3 linked regions of the Arabidopsis thaliana genome follow. The protein of the gene in region 1 purifies or fractionates together with the protein of each later gene. This does not show direct contact. Each region holds a gene or a part of one and is shown on either strand. Other genes may lie near its edges.

Region 1 (8,037 bases):
GAGACGGAGCCATCGGAGAGTGGAATAAAGCGCACAGAGAGTGAGAGAGAAGGGGAGTGAAACAGTCGGCGAAGAGAGCGAGATTGATGAGAGAAGCTTATTATGGAGTGAAGAGATTGCGCGGGAATTTTTCACCGGGAAAATACGCCGGCGAAAGTTGCTAATTGGCGGGAAACAACGCTCTAGTAATAATACTCGCTCTCTCTCTGTGCCATCTCGAAAATCGAATTATTCATGCCGTTAAAAGCTTATGGAGTGAGTGAGATATTGCAACGACGTAAATGGGCTTTGCTCTGTATTAATGGGCTTAAAAGTATAATAATATGGCCCATTAATTCTTAAACCGATCCAGAACCGATCTGTTATGTTACTAAACCGAAAATTGTTCTGTTTTCCAAAATTGTCATAAAAATCCCAAAATTCCACTTTTAGAATTTTTTTGAAAATATGTTAGCATGGTACTTACAATATTTTATGATTGTAATAATGAAATCAAATTATACCAAACTGAAAGTATATTACTGACATGGATACAAAATTAGACTAAGAAGTGTTTTAATCAAACCTAGATCAAAACCGTAGTAAATTTGCGAGAGTGAAAAGAACTGCAAGAGTACAAAGTCACATCTAAATTTCCAAAAGTAAAGTTTGTTCTGCAATCAAGAGATCACTTCTATAGATTCCACTTCTAAGGTCTCTACGTTAAGAAATGTGATAAGATAATAGAGATAAAGCACACAACATAACAAGAGAGACTTGGTTTGTTTCCATTTTTTTTTTTTGGGTGGTGTTACTCAGATAAAACGGATGTCAAAGGTGTGAGGATCAATCTGCCAAACATTCAAAGCTGCATATTCCTCCAAACACTCCTTTAGCTGAGCCTCACTGTATCCCTGTTTTCACACCCCAAATCTCTCGTCTCAGTGATCATCCATTTTCAGAAAGAACATGAAGATGAAGATGAAGGAAGAAACTAACCTTTCTGGAGATCCAGTTCAGGGCATTTGCGTAGCTCACATGGGTCTTTTTTGATCTTGCAGCTTCGTCTCTTATGATTGAGTATGTGTCTGATATTGCATCTAGTCCTGCTTTTTGTCGGTCATCAGCATACAATGATATTTTCGACATCTGCATTAGTCTAAGCGCCTCATCCACATCACTCTGTGCCACTGATTCTGAAAATCTCAACCTTGCTAATGCCTATAGAACAAATCGGAAATATATTAACACTCAATAGTCCAACTAATTTACTCAAGTTCCTACACAAATTCTACTTACAGCGGATATGCGCAGAATGCTGAGCAGTGTCCTCACTGTTGTGTAAGAATGAGGAGTATTTGATTTCGCTTCTTCTTGCCTGATGCTGGAATAAGCAGTTGCTATATATTCCTCCAACTCTGCTGGGACGTATGGTGATAATCTCCTTGCAGCTGAAATGTATGCACTAGAGAACCAAATATGCTCATGTTAAAGTTTCTGACTTTGCAGAACAAGAATGCTGTAAAAGCGATTTAACTTACCGGAGAATGTTGGGTTCCAGAGGCTCGAAACCAAGCGCAGGAGATTCTTCTGTCTGATGTACGTGAAGCACATGCTTTGCCAATTCAAGGTCACTGTCCATGTCAGCTCGATCTAAGATCAACCACAGCAGATCGAATCTTGAAAGAAGGGCCGGTGGAAGATTAATGTTTTCAGCTGGAGTTCTTCGCAAATCATATCTTCCCCTTCATAAACACAAAGATACATAGTTCAATAATGATAGCAATGATCACTCAACATTCATGAGTTTTTAATTCATATCATGAGAGTTCACTTACCAGGCTGGATTGGCTGCAGCAAGAACAGCTGTTCGAGCATTCAAAGACGTGGTAATCCCAGCTTTTGCAATGCTTACAGTTTGCTGCTCCATGACCTCATGAATAGCAGTACGATCTGATTCATCCATCTTATCAAACTCATCAATTGCACAGATTCCCATGTCAGCCAGCACCTGAGATAGAGATTGTATCAAACTTCTAAATCACATAGCTCTTACATCATATTTTCTAAAATATATCCAAAGCAAAAGGGCATTGTCTCTCACCAGTGCTCCTCCTTCTAAAACCATCTCATTTGTTACTTGATCTCTCATAACAGCGGCAGTTAGACCAACTCCACTGCTACCTTTGCCTGTTGTGTAGACTCCCCTTGGAGCAACATTTATAATGTGCTTGAGAAGCTGACTCTTGGCAACTCCAGGATCACCCATCAGACAGATATGCACATCTCCTCTAATCTGCAAAAGATAATTAATGAATGTATTGTTTTTAAATCTTCACAGATAAAATGTGTTCCAATCAAGTGCAATGTGCTCTTGAATGACTGAACATGTTTGTAAATAATAAAGCTCCATAACTCAATCAATGAAGACTGCGGACACTGTATGGAAATAGGTAAAACAATATAGTCGGAGATGAACTAAAGCAAGCAACTGCTTTCTAATCAGTGTACAGTCTTTACTCTTTATCATAATAGATAGCAATATCATGGAAATTTTGCCAGAATAAATCAGAGGACAGGAAAGTTCACCTTCATTCCATCCTTTAATTGCCTGTGAGGAGCACCCACAAGAAGGAGAAGCAAAGCTTTCTTAATATCTTCATGTCCATAAATCTCAGGGGCCAGGGATCGCGACAGCTTATTGTATATGTCACCATCCTCAGCCAAACGTGCAATCTGTTCTTCCTCATCTTTCTGAAACTCATATCTGTAGATCATAATGAAAAAGGTATAAAGATGCTTTCTGATATTGTGCACACACGAAAGCTGCTTTGTATCTTAAGCAAATGCAGAAAAACATGGAATAGGTTACTAAATCAGAATGTTTCGTTAGTGTAAAGGTGTAACAACGCCTTACTCCTCATATTTCTTCTTGAAATGAGTAACAGACGTTGCTTCCAGATAGGTGTCTGCTACTAAGCCAGCTCGAAGTGCCTTAAACCCAGTGTAAGGAATGGGAAGAAAAATCCCTGAGAACTCAACAACATCACCTGGTGATACCTACAAGGGTTTAAGGAAATTTAGTAAGAATTTCACAATTGTACGATAGTAAATGACGCTGATATCACAATATCTACAGATAGAGTCCCAGTACAACATTGGAAAAAAAAATCCTCTTAATCAACAACTGTTCAGCATATGCTTTTAAGCCGAACAACAACTTCTCATTGGACTATTCCTAAGCAACCGAGCTATTGATTCCGAAAGTAGAACAAATAGACTCCAATAGTAGCATGAGACTGAGGTCAAGAAAAGGTACCTTTCTTGTCAACTCTCCTCTTAGATGAACAGTCATAGACCTCGGAATATGCCCTTTGGGAACATGTTCAGCCAACTCTTGCATCTTGGCCTGCAAGACAATGATTTTTTACTCATTAGTTTGATATCAGTGCATTCACATAAATGGCACTCATTGACCAGAAACAGAACCTCCTGAAACTTTAGAAACTTTGATGCTCTGAGCTGAAGAATAGGATTCCCGGCTTTACTATTAAGACGACAGCGACTAGAAGGACACTTAAACAAAGGCATGAAGACTCTAGATGTAACTTCCTGATTTGACATGTAAAAGAAAATAATCAGAGTTAGTAGTTAACAAAATAAAAAAGAAACTACAATCTGGCAAAAGCATAGTTGTACCTGGTAAATCTCATGACCACAATCTTCACATGTGTAAACAGCAACCGCCATCAATGGCTTGACATCGGAACAACGGGTCACAATACCAGATATCCTAACAAGTTGCCCAATGTGTGAAGCCTTAACCTCCCTGATGGTAGATGGCCTTCCCTTTGAAGGAGCTTTAAAATAAACCTCACTGAATAAAAGTAAATTCATTAGCAAACTATTGTAAAACTCATTCCCTAAAGCTTATGTCCAGCAAATAGACTCAGACAAAACTTACTAATATCTTTTAATCTCAGAAGGAATCTGCTGATGAGGATCAGAAACATCTGGATTATCAGTCCCATCATCTGCTCTCTGAGTCATGAGAATATCATGATCATCATCTGGAAACGCTTCCGTTGGTTCGGGTAACAACTCGTCAACAGCGGCGGAGAAAATTGAAACATATCGGCGAGTGTTTTCCGTCAACCGTCCGAGAAACTCCTCACTTTCATCTTTATACTACACAATATCAAAAGAGATGAGTGGCTTCTACAATAGCAACATCCAAAACAGAAACAACATTAGAGAGAAACAAAAAAAAACTCACATTGAATAAGTCATCGAGATCGACTTGAATAGCTCGAATCTTACGATTTGAAACCTCTTGCTACACAAATTCATAAAATAGAACATAAAACCCTAAAATTAGGGAGATTCGCGAAAACCCTAGAAGAGAGAAATTGGTGGAAGATATTGGAAATGAGACTTACGAGAATCTCCATGTACTTAGATCTGCCATTAGCGTCGGCGAAATTCTCGAGAAATCCCTTGGCAAGCCCTATATACAAGAAGAAAAAAAGTGAGAATCAAAACTCAGCGAAAAAAGAGGGAAAAGATTATCGAGAACGGAGAAGAAGAGAGAATGTAACCTTTGTCGCCGTCGAAATCGTGGTCTTTCATGGTTTCAAAACTTGGGTCGAGAGAGAGAGTGGAAGAGGAAGAAGAGAAAGGAATGAACCAGTGACTGCAAAATTGGGCGGTAAAAGGGTTGTAGATGACGATGAGTTTAGGCGGGAAAAGTATTATAGAGAGAAATGGCGGGGAGTAAAATGAACGGTCCAGATCTAATGATCACGTGATTAATGTAATGTCGAAACTACCCCTGCTGGAAATAAAAAAGAAGAGGTAACAAAAAGTGTGGCTGCCGGGATTCGAGCCCGGGTCCCCACGGCCACAACGTGGGATACTAACCGCTATACTACAACCACTTTTGTGTTATTTCTTTCCCTTAGTATTTAATTAACCAAAGATTTAATAATATTATCATCTGTTTCCAAAAAATGGGTGACAAATGTGGATACAATAATGTCATCTTCATCATCCTCCTTACGTTGAAAACTAGTGTGATTTCTTCTTACACTTGTCTTAAATCCATAGCTACTATCGAAATTTGTGTGTGTGAATTTAAAGCTTTTGATTTTTTTTTTTGTTGTTGTATATTTAGTCTCTCTGTATTCGACTTTGATCAAAACTTGGTCAACATCATCTTTAACATCGCCTTCATAGTAGGCGATCAAAAAATCCATGGAATAAATAGCACACACAAGTCTGAATCATTTCCCAGTCTACAACAAATCGTTACATCTTCCTTCTTCTTTCTCCTGTAAGTCCTCTTCTTTTTTTTTTAATCTGTTTTCTTTCAACCTATGACGAAAATCATCACACTTGTCTTGATTCTTCACTTTCTGTCTGAAACCAACTTTTTTTTTTTTTTTTACTAGGAAGGATTTTGATTTCTTTTTTTTCCGAGGTGTTACTTGTTAGAACGGGATAAGATCGTAATCTTTTTTTTTATTATGAAGATGACATTTGACCAAAAAAGTATAAAACCTCTTTTTGTATTTGTTTTCTTATATAGCATTAGTATATTCTGACAATATTCCAACGAGCATTGATGATTTTTGTGGAAATAGAGATCAAAGTAGGAGGAAGACATGCAAAATCAGTATTAAATTTTTAATTTGTTATGTGAAGATAAGGTCAAGAAAATGACGTATTTACTTGTTGGAACTTAATTCCAAACAATTATGTACCAAACACGAATCCATACGCAATTATCACAAATCTCAAAGTGGCAAAACTTCACATTTAAAATTTTCCCAAAACCTAACCAAATTGAAATCTATCTAACCACGTGAAGATGTAAATGTGTATAACCCTTTTTGTTTCGTTGTCTCTCAGATTCTGGAATTTGAGTAAAAGCAAGAAAAAAAGTCAACCGTTGCAACAAACTCTTAAAAAGAAGCAAAGTAGTAGCAGAAGAAGAAGAAGAAGAAGAAGAAAAGAAAATGGCAGGAGGGTCGTTTGGTCCGACCGGTGTGGCTAAGGAGAGAGCAGAACAATACCAAGGGAAAGTCACTAGTTATGTTATAATCGCTTGCCTTGTTGCAGCTATTGGTGGATCCATCTTTGGATATGACATTGGAATCTCAGGTTCTTTTCTTCATCTTTTGAATCCAATTTCTTAATAATCTTATCAAACAATGGCTGAAATGGTTTTTTGTTTGTATGCAGGAGGAGTTACATCGATGGATGAGTTTCTTGAGGAGTTTTTCCACACGGTTTATGAGAAGAAGAAGCAAGCTCATGAAAGTAATTACTGCAAATATGATAATCAAGGCTTAGCTGCTTTCACTTCTTCACTCTACTTAGCTGGTTTGGTTTCGACTCTCGTGGCTTCACCCATCACTAGGAACTACGGTAGGCGTGCGAGTATTGTTTGTGGTGGAATCAGCTTTCTTATTGGATCTGGTTTGAATGCTGGAGCTGTGAACTTAGCTATGCTTCTTGCCGGACGGATCATGCTTGGTGTTGGTATTGGATTTGGAAATCAGGTTAGACAATTGTTTAGTTGGTGTCACCAATAATAAACCAATCTCATCTCTAATGAAAGTTACCTTGCTTTGGTTTTTGCTTTCAGGCGGTTCCTTTGTATTTATCAGAAGTGGCACCAACTCATCTACGAGGTGGTTTAAACATGATGTTTCAGCTAGCTACAACTATCGGGATCTTTACAGCGAACATGGTTAATTACGGTACTCAACAGCTTAAGCCTTGGGGATGGAGACTCTCTCTTGGTTTAGCTGCTTTTCCAGCTCTGCTTATGACGCTTGGCGGGTATTTCTTACCCGAGACACCAAACAGTTTGGTCGAAAGAGGATTAACAGAGAGAGGTCGACGAGTCTTAGTGAAGCTAAGAGGAACAGAAAACGTCAACGCCGAGCTTCAAGACATGGTAGATGCGAGTGAGCTTGCGAATTCCATCAAACATCCATTCAGAAACATCTTGCAGAAACGACACAGGCCTCAGCTAGTTATGGCTATTTGCATGCCAATGTTTCAGATACTCACAGGGATAAACTCCATTCTCTTCTACGCACCTGTTCTGTTCCAGACAATGGGGTTTGGAGGAAACGCATCTCTCTATTCATCAGCTTTAACAGGAGCTGTTCTTGTCCTATCAACATTTATTTCCATAGGATTAGTAGACAGATTGGGACGAAGAGCTCTTCTCATAACTGGAGGAATACAAATGATAATCTGTCAAGTCATAGTAGCAGTGATCTTAGGAGTGAAATTTGGAGACAACCAAGAGCTATCAAAAGGGTACTCAGTGATCGTAGTCATCTTCATCTGCCTCTTTGTTGTAGCGTTCGGATGGTCATGGGGTCCTCTAGGTTGGACCATACCTAGCGAAATCTTTCCGTTAGAGACTCGTTCAGCGGGGCAGAGTATCACAGTAGCTGTAAATCTCCTCTTCACTTTCATCATAGCTCAAGCTTTCCTTGGTCTCCTCTGTGCATTCAAGTTTGGAATCTTCCTCTTCTTTGCTGGTTGGGTGACAGTAATGACTATCTTTGTGTATTTCCTGTTGCCTGAAACCAAAGGAGTTCCAATAGAAGAGATGACACTCTTATGGAGTAAACATTGGTTCTGGAAAAAAGTATTACCTGATGCAACAAATCTTGAAGATGAGAGCAAGAATGTATCTGTTTAAAGAGAATATAAACTGATTCAAGAAACTTATGTTTGTATTACTATAAGGTTTTTTATTGCATAAGGAGAGATTTGAATCCCATGTGAAAGTGACAACTACAAACTTCAAAATCCGAAACAAAACTAAAAAAAAGCGATTGAAAATAGTCACAGTGACTGTTACACCAAAACACTCGATTACAGAGTAAAGATTTTGGTTGCAATTGGCGTTTTGTGATCACATTCTCCATCTTCTTCTTCTTCTTTGAGATAAACAAAGAGATTTGTTTACTCTCTATCTCAGGATTTCTTCACACATCTGCTCTTACGAGACCATCAAAAGACGGTTTCGAT
Region 2 (6,150 bases), on another chromosome or scaffold:
TGAATTTCAAACCACCTTGCTTCTCTTTCTTCACCACCAATTGCATCGTCGGCTTGATCCCCTCGCCATCCTCGAAATGTTGATCTAGAGAGCTCTTGTTGTTAACATCAGCTTCTCCATTCAATTTCTCATCGCATCTCATCAGATTGTTCAAACTCTTACGATCAATCTCTTTGTCTTCGATTTGCTCTTGTTCTTTGTCTGGTTTTGGTTGTGAGCTTTGGGTGCATATTGCATGGTGATGCATATCGTTGATGAGACTAGACCATGGTTTTCGAGTTCTTTTCGACATGCTTAGATCAAACCGTGGCTTGGTCGGGTTTACTACTTCACTTCCCATGGTTATTAATCATACAAAAGAGAATCTATACTCTTTCTTTCTTTTTCAAAGGAGAAAACTATATAGAGGAATTAGGAGTAGCTATATGTCCATTTTCACTTTTGAATTGATAACGTAAGAGGTCGGTGACTGTGAGTGTTTGGACTACTCGTTACTTAATTAATAAATAAAGAAATGATTACAATCGTGACTCAGATGTCTATTTTGTAACTAATCTTAATTTATCTTGATACTTTGGGTTACTTGTAGCATACAATAAATTGAAACCACAACGGACCAAATTTCTAGGCTTGGGTTGATAATCCATACGTTTAAAACCGAAATTGTGAGAATAGTGTGGATTTATCTAGCTCGTGTCGAAAATTCAATATAGCTCATTCACTTAGATTGTGTCTGTAACTTTTGTAGCTCGAGCAGAAAAGAAATAGGATCCTAAGATTGATACAAACCCATCTCAGTCGCCAAGCTAGGGAAATGTTAAGATCCGAAACTTCTTATCATGTACTTTTCTTGTAATAAAAAAAAGTGGAAAAAGAGATACCGGATAACAAAGGTACAAACAAAGCAAGTTCACAAAATTTGGAAGGTTGGTTGGAGTGCGACCTGATGGGCGAGTTGGAGTGTCAACACTCAACACAAACACAGGTAAGTAAATGATTGGACACTTCACTTAAGTTTTCTATTCCAAGCATCTCCCCCATAAATTTGACAAGGTATTAATCATCAAACAGGCCTTGCATGAAAATATTCTTACAATTATTTTTTCTCTATAGAGTAATTTTAGTTGGACTTGGCCCATCACAATACACGCTTAAATGTGTGTAAAAGGCTTTATGATGTTAGGATTAGATAGGTTTATGATGACAAAAGAAATCTTCATCCTAATCGCATGCATAGTATGTTGTAGGTAGTGTACATCAAATATTGCTAAAAAGTCTCACTTGCAAATCACAATCGGATATTACAAAAGAGACAAAAAGGCTCGTGCTTTACACCTGCAACCAACAAAAGCTTTTTACTTGCAGCCCTTACCAAATCTCGAAGACAGAGAGACAAAACTGTTTACTTTTCCCGACACAGTAAACGACGAACTCTCCACATTCCCCGAGACACCTCTCTCTCTCTCTCTCTTTGAGATTCCTTCCCACTCTTCTTCTTCTTCCTTCTCCCAAAAGATGCTTCAGCTTCTTTTCCCACCATGGCTTCCCTCACTCCTGGAGTTCTCTCCAACCTTCTCAATATCGCCGCCGGAAACTCACCTTCTTCGCCGCCATTGTTGTCTTCTCATCGTTCACCACTCCTCCAAGTCATAGAAATCGTTCCTTGTCTCTCTGACGACCAATGGCGTAGCGAAGCATTCTTCGTCAAAGTCTCTGACTCTCTCCACGCAGCTTACGTCGCCGTTTCCACCGGTGATGACGCTGATCTGATACGTTCCGATGAAATTCAGCTAGGACAATTCATTTACATATGCGGTGGTTTACACGTCGAGAAAGGATGTCCTGTTCCTGTAATCCGTGGTTTGAAACCAGTCCCTAAGCGGAGGATGTGTGTTGGAAACCCTAGCGATCTTTATTCTAGCGATTTGCTGCTTCCTTTTACTCAGGTCTCTGTTTCTCCGACGACGACGAAGAAAAAGAATCTTGTTGAAACAAGGAGATTGAGTTTGGATTCCGCGAGAAGGAGTTGTTGGGATCAAACTCCTCCGGTGACTCGTCGTCGTGACGCTGCATTGCTTCTTTCTTCACCACGTCTTAAATCTAAATTGGTACACCTTTCATCTTTTTTTTTTTTTTTTTTTTTTTTTCTGTGAATCGCTCTGTTTTAGTGGTTTGTAGGGATTCTTGTCCTTTAAGTTGCCTACAATGGTATGAGATTGATATATGTGACATGTGAGAAACCAACAATACTACTAGACTAGTTTTCGTAGACCTTGAATGTTGCTCTGTGAGTCACTCTGTTTGATTCTTTTTGTTGCATTTGGTTGGATTGTGGAAGCTGTTGTTTTGAGTGGTGTAGGGTTTCTTGTTCTTTAAGTTGCTAAAATAGTTTGTTTCAGGAAGACCTTAAAAGTTGTTTCTTATAGATAGTACAGCAATTTGATATTGGTTTCACAGTTCATACACTTGAAGTCCTTGGCTTTCACAGATTTGTGATGTTTTTGCAGGTCTTGAATGATAAGAGTCTGCTAAAGATTGAGTCCCCATCAAAGTACTTTAACTGTGGAACCTCTCCTGCCTTAAGGAACAAGAATGTGGTTAAGCCTGGATCACCTATATCCATGGCTAGTTCTCCGAAAGATGGTATCAAGTCACCTATATCAAAGCACCTTAACTGCGAAACCCCTGCTTTAAGAAGCAGATATGTGGTCAAGCCTGCATCACCTATATCCGTGACTAGGTCTCCTAAAGATGGTATCAAGTCCTTGTCAAAGGCAGTGACTCCTCCGGTTGCGCTTTTTAAGGTGCCTTCAAGTCACATGACTTGGTCTGATCAAAGAATGTCATGGAGTGGACTCCCAAAAACCATTCAATTGCTCGGAAAGGTACGGTATTTGGATCAATCTACCGACTCTAAGAATTCGTAGTCATGTCTTTCAACCCCTCCTTTCAGGAAGTTTCATCACATAGGCAAGTAGCAGTTTCGGCAGCAGTAAGTGCACTGGAGGAAGCATCTGCCATGGAGTCTGTTCTATTTAGTTTGCAGTATGTCTTCTCTATTTCATCCCTAACCAGTTTCATTACACGAGTTTGCGAGTCCTTAATAATAGCATACATATGAATTTGTTCCTTCAGGGCCTTTGCCGAGCTGTGTGATTCTACTAAGAAGTTATCTACTGGACAAGTAGTGGCCCGGTTCTTGGACATCTACCACAATACACAGAATACATGCAAAGCGGTCCATCGGTTGCTTACTCAAAATCGAAACAACGGCTCGTGTAGATTAGTAGTAAATAAAAATGCAACATCTTGGGTTCAAGCTGCGGTAGTGACTGGTTTTTCTCAGTTCAACTTATTTAAAGAGCCTGGAAAGAAAGGTGATGCTGCTGATCATCACTACATTGTTATGCAGAACTCATCCGAGAAACTGAACCCCAAGGAGACAACAAGTTCAAGAACCCCATCCTACAAAGGCGCGAAACCGCCTGCAACGAAACATTGTTCTGTTTCAGACCGAAGTAGCTTAGAAGGTAAAAGCAGTCTGAAGGATTCAACGAGTCTAGCGGATGAGCTAGTCCAAGTTTCCAGCCAATGGTTCTTGAAATATTTGGAGAATTCATTGAACAAAGGGTCTTTCTTGGTGAAGACGGAAGAAACAAATGGAAAAGAGTCTCTTCTCGTCCACCTTAAAGCTTTAAACCATTGGCTCGATGATCTGAACTTAAACAGAACAGAAACGAACGAGAAAGTCGAAGATTTAAGAAAGAAGCTGCAACGGTTTCTACTTGAGCATATTGAATCTGTCATTGGGGATACTTACAATATGAAAAGAAAGATTATAAATTCCATCTAAAGAATGTATACAATATGGGTTAAGAAAAAACAATCATCTGCGCATACTGTACTGATGTTCTACTTCATCATCCTCGTCTTCCATAAAAGGCGTAGCCTCATGATCGGTCTTGGCTTTACCTTGGACAGGTTCTTGATTGTTGTTTTCTGCGGTTTGTCTGTTAGCAGAAGAGTATTGTTGGACCACAAGAACCGAAGCTTGCATTGTGAAGTTTGATGAAATTAATGTATCGCCTATAATCCCTAAATCCGGAGTACTATTCCAATCTGTCAACCCTGAGGTCACAGGTGTTTCTACTTGATATCCTCTTCCCACAATGTAAAGATCGTAAGAATTGTTATCTTCCAGTTCTAAAATCGCTGTGATCGTTTCTTGGCCATTCTTAACCACTTTCTCTACATAAGTCACTGATGGATCATTCATAGTCTTGAAGTTAAACTCGTAGATGGACTCTTCATCGACATGTTTATCCTTCTCGTACTCGTCCGCGGCTTCCCCGGCTGAGACTAAAGCTTCCTGGCTTGGGACGAATCTAACGACCGTGAGTTGAACCATTTCTTGTCCCACCATCCTCCAAGCGTAAGCCAAAGCCTCTCTGTCGTCTCGACCTCCTAGGAATAGCATGGCGATTTCTTTCTTTGTGGTTTCGCCTTGGAACATAAAAGATTCAAACCGGACAGTCGTCATGCCACGGTCAACCAAAATCCCAACCGAACAAGGCGCGTGGCTCATAACGTTTTGGTTGATTTCAGCGTGCACTGCGTTACCTTCATTTAACCGACCGTCTGACGTCATATTCTTGTGGTAAGGCAATAAAATGAAGCAGGCTTGTTTATCCTCGGCCAACAAACAAATATCTTCGTCCATCGTTGCGTAAGGTGAAACCGCGGTAATGGTCTGAACCATTACCCCGTCGTTGTTCACTTCGAGAGCTGTGAACATCTCAGCGATCTGGTCAGATTCCGCTCTAACTCGGTCAGCAAAGTTAGCTTTCGGTTTGGCCTCATCGTTCATAATGAGCAACGAAGCCGTGGTGCGACCCGTTAGCTCGACTAGGTGGATAGCAAAAACGTTAAGAGGAGATTTCTTGGTCGGGTTAGAGAGTTGTAATAGATTGGTTATGCCAGAGACGTTAGGGAGGACATGGACGCATGTCAATACACAAAGCTCTGACTCTCCTTTGTGTTTTTGAATGGTTCGGTTTTTATAGAAAATCAACTTCTTCTTTGGTTTGTAAGCAATGGCTAATAGTGGCTGCACCACCATTGACATCACTAGAAACGCCAACGTCAGATGAGTGTACATAATAACGTCCAATGCCTTGGTGTCTCGTCCAGCATTGAGAATGACTAGTGCCATTGTTCCCTTGGTATTCATAAGTGCACCAATGGCTAAACCATCACGCAAAGGTATACGCAAGAAAATGGAGCAAAACATCGTTGACAAAATCTTCACCATAACCGACGCAGAAGTCACAACCGCCATCATTCCAACGCTCACGGTCCTGTTCATGTAACCAATATCAGCTCTTAAACCGCAGATGATGTAGAAAAGAGGCATTAGCATTCCCGAGAGGAAATCGTGGAGCTTCTCTTCGATCATTTTTCGAATGATGTGGTCATGAGGGATCGATAGACCGAACAAGAATGCTCCGGTAATTGAGTGAACCCCACATACTTCGGTGATTAAGCTGCAAATAATGACTCCAGCGAGAGTGTACCATACGTGAGTGTCTCCCACTTGACCTCCTTCGACGGTGTTGTTGAAGATCCAAGCCACTCCAGGTTGGATCACAAAGTAGCAGAGAAGGACAAAAGCTATGGTTGATGCTAATGAGTATGGCAACATTTCGTTGCGTACACCTAACAAATTAAATATGGTTTTCGTTAGTACTATAATTCAGTAACTATGCGTGTGTGAGGAAAAATAACACAAGGGAACAACCATATTTAGTTACCAGATTTGGAAAAAATCGCCATTCCAAAAATGAAGAGAATCCAAGTGCACAAATCAGTAACAACGGCTGCACACATTGCAGTATGTCCCATATCCGTACGCAAGAGCTTGAGATCCGCAAGAATCCTAGCAAGATCAGGGAAATTTGTACAGCCAAATGCGATCGACCAGTACATACAACCTGCTAGGATTTTGTCGGCCTCTCCGTTACTGGGAAGGTAGTATAAGCCAGCACCGGCAAGTAAAGCCGCAAGGAGGCCAACAATGGCTATGATCACTGGTTTGATGTCTTTGATCTTTATCATCCTCAAGTCCAAGCCGAGACCGAGGAGGAAAACGTT
Region 3 (6,017 bases), on another chromosome or scaffold:
GTTAAACATTTTTTCCTCCTCCTCTAACTACTAGATCCTTGGGTTGTTGTGATGTAGGATTCAGGACAAGGGTTAATTCTCCACAGTCTTTTTCGAGACCATAGAGTTTAGGGTATATCTATTAAAGCTTAGCCAATTTCTATTCCTAAACGAATTATATCATCGTTCTCAACAGATGGCTAGATTATGTCCATCTGAAAATTTGATTTGACAAATCAAAAGACTTGGAAATTAAAACTACCTTTTAACTCCGGCAACATACACAGATTTCTTCATAACAAGCTGTGGGATAAGATAATTGTCGTTATATATCGTAATTGACTCAAACACTAGACCTTGGGGCCTGTGTGGTTGGTTTCCAAATTGATTGCCTGTGAAGGCCCATTAATACGAATAGCCTACATATATGTGCTAATTTAAATCCCTAATACAGTACATAGTCGTGCATCTATATATAAATATATAATAAATCTACATTTATTTTGGTGTAGTTTTTATTATAAAGAAAGAGTCAAATGGTTACTAGAGGATCCAAGTCCAACTTTAGCAATCAAATCTTCGGCTAAAAAAATTTCCTCCAAAATTTTCCTCGCATAGTCGTGGATGGTATCCACTGTTTGTCCTCCTCAACAAAATGTAAAAGCCATTCAGAAGTACAAACATGAAAGAATAAAAAGAAAACACCTTTTTGACAAAAAGGATACAAAAAAATCATTTGCCAACAAAACAACCGAAAATTCTTCGAGTAGTATCAGTGGGTAGGGCCACCAGGAGTAAAAAAATCATTAAGCATGTGAGTAAAAAACAAGAGATAAACTGTTGCTTAATTCTGAAATCTCTCTTGATCTATTTATTATTCTCATGCAAACCATTAATCTTTACGGGAGAAAAATATTAGTATGATATTTTGAGTCCTGATTGCGACTAGTGATATCGAATGATTACAATTACTAATAAGTATTACCTGAAGCTTTCATCACGCGTCTGCTTAAACATTGATAAATACATTATACCCAAGTTAATCATTCTCTTAACTCATATAATGTCAGAAGATCAATGACATCGAGCAGACACGTTGTCGCCTTTTTACTCGCTTTTGTTATTACACAAGCTAAACAAAAAGAATGTCCCATGAAAGAAAAAGCAAATAAAGAGAGTAATACTATAATAAACACATGGGATAAGAAAGTGGATTAAGGCATCAATTTCGTCTCCATTACACTAAACACACACTTTTGATTACGTTCCAAGACTCGGCGCCGTTATCTTGGCGCCATTCACGCTTCCCTTTTATCTTTTGTCTCCTCTTTTTAAATTCAAAATCACTTAATCCCCCTAACCTAATTCAACTATGCACTCCCTAACTATACCCATATATGAACATATTCTTACTACGGTAGATCCATTTTAACCCCGAAACTGCCCATTTCAAAATTTTAAACAGTCTATGTATATCGTAACTAGGAAATATATTAAAAACAAACTTAGGTTTGCATAAAAGGAAAACGTTACTTGTTTAGCAAGTATTAGATATCTTAGAAATAAAATCGTTTAGTTAGGAATCATTTCCAATTCAGTAGGTGTGATTGAATGTCGATTTTATATGGTTCAGTTGATTTATGAGACAAATATTAATGGGGTCATAATTTGTAGCATTTTTATAGGAAACAGTTTAAATATCAAATATTGGTTTGTTAAGTTAATATACGTTGGATATTTGCTTTGCATTAAAATATGAAACCATTTACTTTACAAGTATATTGTATATACACGATAAATTGAAAAAATCAATGATTAAATGTCGTTTGGATTTTATGTAGGAAAAATCTCAAAAAGGGAACGATCTGATTCGATTGCAAAAAAAAATCGGATCAAAATCTCATATAAGGAAAAATACGAATCAAAGACTTCCGCTTCAAATTTTTTTTTTTGAAATCCATCCGATTAATTTTTTTAAAATACATAGATATCAGTATATCAAAAAACTGAAAACTCTTCCGTCTTTTGAGAATAAAAGAGTCCAACTTTTGCATTCGACATTTGACTATAACAGTATCTTTTCGAGAAGACGCAAAGTCGTTACGTGCGTTTATATTTCGTTTATTCATGTCCCAATACTACCTCTTAGGAAATAAGAGACTATTAAGACTTTCTTGCTTCCCAATACACCCCCACTAATATCAAATAACCTAGTTTAATTTCTTCCGTTTCTCAACACTTTTAAGAAAATACTTAACAATTGACATAAAAGAAAAAACGTACAGAGGAATTTGAATGGACAAACAAAGGTGAAACAACTAGAATGGACAAACAAAGGTGAAACAACTAGAATTTAACAATAGACAAAAAAAAAAGAAAAGGATTTGGTTAAGCAATATTAAGGTATGAACTAACCTAAACCATAAAATAGTAAAAAAGGAGGATTAAGGTTACTTTGTTTAGGAGCAGCACGTTGATAACCAAAAAGCCATAATTATCGCTTCCTTCAGCGCAGGATCCTTCTCTCTCCTATCTCTCTGTATATATATGTGGACCTTCACGTAATAGCTTCGTACTTCAAACCTCAAAAGCAATTTAGCTCTCTGTCTTCAAGATGACTTCTCTTTTCTTCTTTGTTCTCCTTTTCTCGTCTCTTCTCATAAGCAATGGCGATGCCAACCCAAATTACAAAGAAGCTCTCTCCAAGTCATTGCTCTTCTTCCAAGGTCAGCGATCTGGTCCTCTTCCTAGAGGCCAACAAATTTCCTGGAGGGCTAGCTCTGGCCTTTCCGATGGCTCTGCTGCTCATGTACACACCTTAAACCATATTTAACTTTGATACAGAATATATCTTTGTTAGTAACATTGATATATGAATTGCAGGTGGACTTAACCGGCGGGTACTATGACGCAGGAGACAACGTCAAGTTCAATTTACCAATGGCGTTTACCACCACAATGCTCTCATGGAGCGCACTGGAATACGGTAAACGGATGGGTCCTGAGCTGGAAAATGCACGTGTGAACATCCGTTGGGCCACAGATTATCTGCTGAAATGTGCCAGAGCCACGCCGGGGAAGCTTTATGTCGGTGTAGGAGATCCTAATGTTGATCACAAATGCTGGGAACGGCCTGAAGACATGGACACACCACGTACAGTTTACTCTGTATCCGCTTCCAATCCTGGTTCTGATGTCGCAGCTGAAACAGCAGCAGCTCTAGCTGCAGCTTCTATGGTTTTCAGAAAAGTTGATTCCAAGTATTCACGTTTGCTGCTCGCAACAGCTAAGGATGTGATGCAGTTTGCCATTCAGTACCAGGGAGCTTACAGTGATTCCCTTTCCTCATCTGTCTGTCCTTTCTACTGCTCCTACTCTGGTTACAAGGTCTGCTTTCACATGAAACTAAACCACTCTTACCACTACATCAGATCCTCATTTTTAAAAATGTGAATTTATGAACACAGGACGAGCTAATGTGGGGTGCGTCATGGCTGCTAAGAGCAACGAATAACCCGTATTACGCAAACTTCATAAAATCTTTAGGAGGTGGAGATCAGCCTGACATCTTCAGCTGGGACAATAAATATGCTGGTGCCTATGTTCTTCTCTCACGGGTTTGTCTCTCTGCTAATAAAAACTCATTGAGAACATAGCTTTTAGCATCACACTATCTAACTTTTACATTTTGGCAGAGAGCATTACTTAACAAAGACAGCAACTTTGAACAATATAAGCAAGCAGCTGAGAATTTCATCTGCAAAATCCTTCCAGATTCTCCTTCTTCCTCTACCCAATACACTCAAGGTAACCTACTTCACGATATAGAACACAAATTGCTAAACAACAACCTCTTCTAATCATATGTTTACCAATTACAGGAGGATTAATGTACAAGCTACCTCAAAGCAATCTTCAGTACGTAACCTCCATAACATTCTTGCTCACAACTTACGCCAAATACATGAAAGCCACAAAACACACATTCAATTGCGGAAGCTCCGTTATCGTCCCCAACGCCTTGATAAGCCTATCGAAGCGACAAGTTGATTACATACTCGGAGATAACCCAATCAAAATGTCATACATGGTTGGATTCTCTTCCAATTTCCCTAAGAGAATCCACCACAGAGCATCTTCTCTTCCTTCACACGCACTTCGTTCTCAATCGTTAGGCTGCAATGGTGGATTCCAATCGTTCTACACTCAAAACCCTAACCCTAACATTCTCACCGGAGCAATCGTAGGAGGTCCGAATCAAAACGATGGGTATCCAGATCAGAGAGACGATTATAGTCACGCGGAACCGGCGACTTATATAAACGCCGCCTTCGTCGGACCTTTGGCGTACTTCGCCGCCGGCCGTTCGACTTGAAATTGAATTCGCCACCGCCACATTCTCCGATTTGTAGTTCCATTGTTAGTTAAAGATCCGTTGGTCCAAGCCTAACGTGAAAATCAGAAGGGACAAAGTTATTTAAATGTAAAACTCTTAATGGGCTAAGACCCAATACTAAAGGACCCGACGGAAATATTTCTCGTGGTCTTATTTAACTCTAACCATCATCATTACGCGTTTCAAATATTCAACCAAGGCCGTTAATTAAGCACCACGGAAATATTTCATGTTTGGTTATAGCACCATGAAAGAACACTAGAATATTTACTTGTCAATTATGTCATGAAAGAACACTAGAATATTTACTTGTCAATTATGTCATCAGTACAAAGATTAAACAGCTGAAAGATATGCATTAAGTAGGAAATGTAAAGACAAAATATCGTTTTCTGCTAAAAGGAATTACACATATGCCAAACAATGGGCCGAGAGAGAATTGAAACTAATGGGCCGAGAGATATTTTTTCTCTTAGTGGGCTTTTAGGAGAAACTGTAGCAAAAACAACAGATTTCGAACAAAATTTTGATGTAGATCATAGCTAAAAAATAATCTGGAGTGAGCGACAAGCAAGCGGCGGCCGTCATGGATTCATCGCCGCCGAAGACTATCACCAAGGCTCTGCCGCGTTTCTCTGAACTCAAACCTCCGCTCTCAGAAGATATCATCGAGGCGCTTGACCGGTCCGGTTTCGAGGTCTGCACTCCGGTTCAGGCCGAGACGATCCCTTTCCTCTGCAGCCACAAGGATGTTGTCGTCGACGCAGCCACTGGTTCTGGAAAAACCCTAGCTTTCCTCCTTCCCTTCATAGAGATTATCCGTCGATCCAACTCCTACCCTCCGAAGCCACACCAGGTAAGGAGAATTAGCCGAATATCAAGAGTAGTAGCTTATGCTATATGTTAACAATTTCAATCTCAGGTAATGGGGGTGATTATATCGCCAACTAGAGAGCTATCAGCGCAGATACATAAGGTGGCAGAGCCATTTGTCTCGACTTTGCCAAATGTGAACTCTGTCCTGCTTGTTGGAGGTCGAGAGGTGGAAGCTGACATGAATACTCTCGAAGAAGAAGGAGCCAATCTCTTGATCGGCACCCCTGGAAGGCTTTCAGATATGATGAAACGAATGGAGTTTCTGGATTTTCGAAATCTCGAGATTCTTATCTTAGATGAGGCCGATAGACTTTTGGATATGGGGTTCCAGAAGCAGGTCAATTACATTATATCTCGCTTGCCAAAGCAACGTAGGACTGGCCTCTTTTCAGCTACACAAACACAAGCTGTTGCAGACCTGGCCAAGGCTGGCCTTAGGAATGCTATGGAAGTTATATCGGGAGCTGAGTCAAAGTCGAAAACGTCTTCTGGTCTGTATTGTGAGGTATTATTATTGTAAGGTCAATATTTAAATACGTATATGTGTTTCGGGATAGTAAGTTTATTTCTTCTTCGTGTCTCTGCAGTATTTAAAATGCGAAGCAGATCAAAAGTCATCACAACTAGTGCATCTCCTGATCGAGAACAAAAATAAAAAGCTTGTCGTGTAAGTTTTGTCACAACGTACTTATCAAATTAAGCATCCTTTTACAGATAGTCTAACTAGTATCTCTTCTGCAGATTCTTCATGACATGTGCTTGTGTT

What was found.
Region 2: the proteins of PRL (region 1) and AT2G31920 purify together in Arabidopsis thaliana (affinity purification with mass spectrometry, with the first as the bait; one large-scale study listed by BioGRID). This does not show direct contact.
Region 3: the proteins of PRL (region 1) and CEL3 purify together in Arabidopsis thaliana (affinity purification with mass spectrometry, with the first as the bait; one large-scale study listed by BioGRID). This does not show direct contact.

What each region holds. Positions count from the first base shown.
Region 1 is NC_003075.7:898,055-906,091, reverse strand, and holds PRL (Minichromosome maintenance (MCM2/3/5) family protein), read right to left. Parts: upstream 5,457-8,037; 5' UTR 5,409-5,456; intron 5,338-5,408; 5' UTR 5,291-5,337; exon of another isoform or gene 5,020-5,290; intron 4,917-5,019; exon of another isoform or gene 4,845-4,916; intron 4,718-4,844; exon of another isoform or gene 4,673-4,717; 5' UTR 4,609-4,672; coding exon 4,578-4,608; intron 4,487-4,577; coding exon 4,419-4,486; intron 4,316-4,418; coding exon 4,256-4,315; intron 4,168-4,255; coding exon 3,944-4,167; intron 3,857-3,943; coding exon 3,679-3,856; intron 3,592-3,678; coding exon 3,469-3,591; intron 3,389-3,468; coding exon 3,299-3,388; intron 3,040-3,298; coding exon 2,897-3,039; intron 2,747-2,896; coding exon 2,569-2,746; intron 2,276-2,568; coding exon 2,084-2,275; intron 1,991-2,083; coding exon 1,818-1,990; intron 1,725-1,817; coding exon 1,521-1,724; intron 1,445-1,520; coding exon 1,279-1,444; intron 1,201-1,278; coding exon 979-1,200; intron 894-978; coding exon 795-893; 3' UTR 501-794; and 1 more. Other genes in the region: MSH6 (MUTS homolog 6), read right to left, coding at 1-13; STP7 (sugar transporter protein 7), read left to right, coding at 5,997-6,141, 6,223-6,542, 6,629-7,705. UniProt on the Arabidopsis thaliana protein: Probable component of the MCM2-7 complex (MCM complex) that may function as a DNA helicase and which is essential to undergo a single round of replication initiation and elongation per cell cycle in eukaryotic cells.
Region 2 is NC_003071.7:13,571,756-13,577,905, reverse strand, and holds AT2G31920 (elongation factor 1-delta, putative (DUF936)), read left to right. Parts: upstream 1-1,524; 5' UTR 1,525-1,538; coding exon 1,539-2,108; intron 2,109-2,507; coding exon 2,508-2,885; intron 2,886-2,953; coding exon 2,954-3,045; intron 3,046-3,135; coding exon 3,136-3,853; 3' UTR 3,854-3,886; downstream 3,887-6,150. Other genes in the region: AT2G31930 (uncharacterized protein), read right to left, coding at 1-340; CHX21 (cation/H+ exchanger 21), read right to left, coding at 3,887-5,715, 5,811-6,150.
Region 3 is NC_003070.9:26,898,326-26,904,342, reverse strand, and holds CEL3 (cellulase 3), read left to right. Parts: upstream 1-2,366; 5' UTR 2,367-2,593; coding exon 2,594-2,788; intron 2,789-2,862; coding exon 2,863-3,366; intron 3,367-3,446; coding exon 3,447-3,596; intron 3,597-3,674; coding exon 3,675-3,786; intron 3,787-3,860; coding exon 3,861-4,354; 3' UTR 4,355-4,578; downstream 4,579-6,017. Other genes in the region: AT1G71370 (DEA(D/H)-box RNA helicase family protein), read left to right, coding at 4,962-5,231, 5,298-5,756, 5,839-5,918, 5,993-6,017.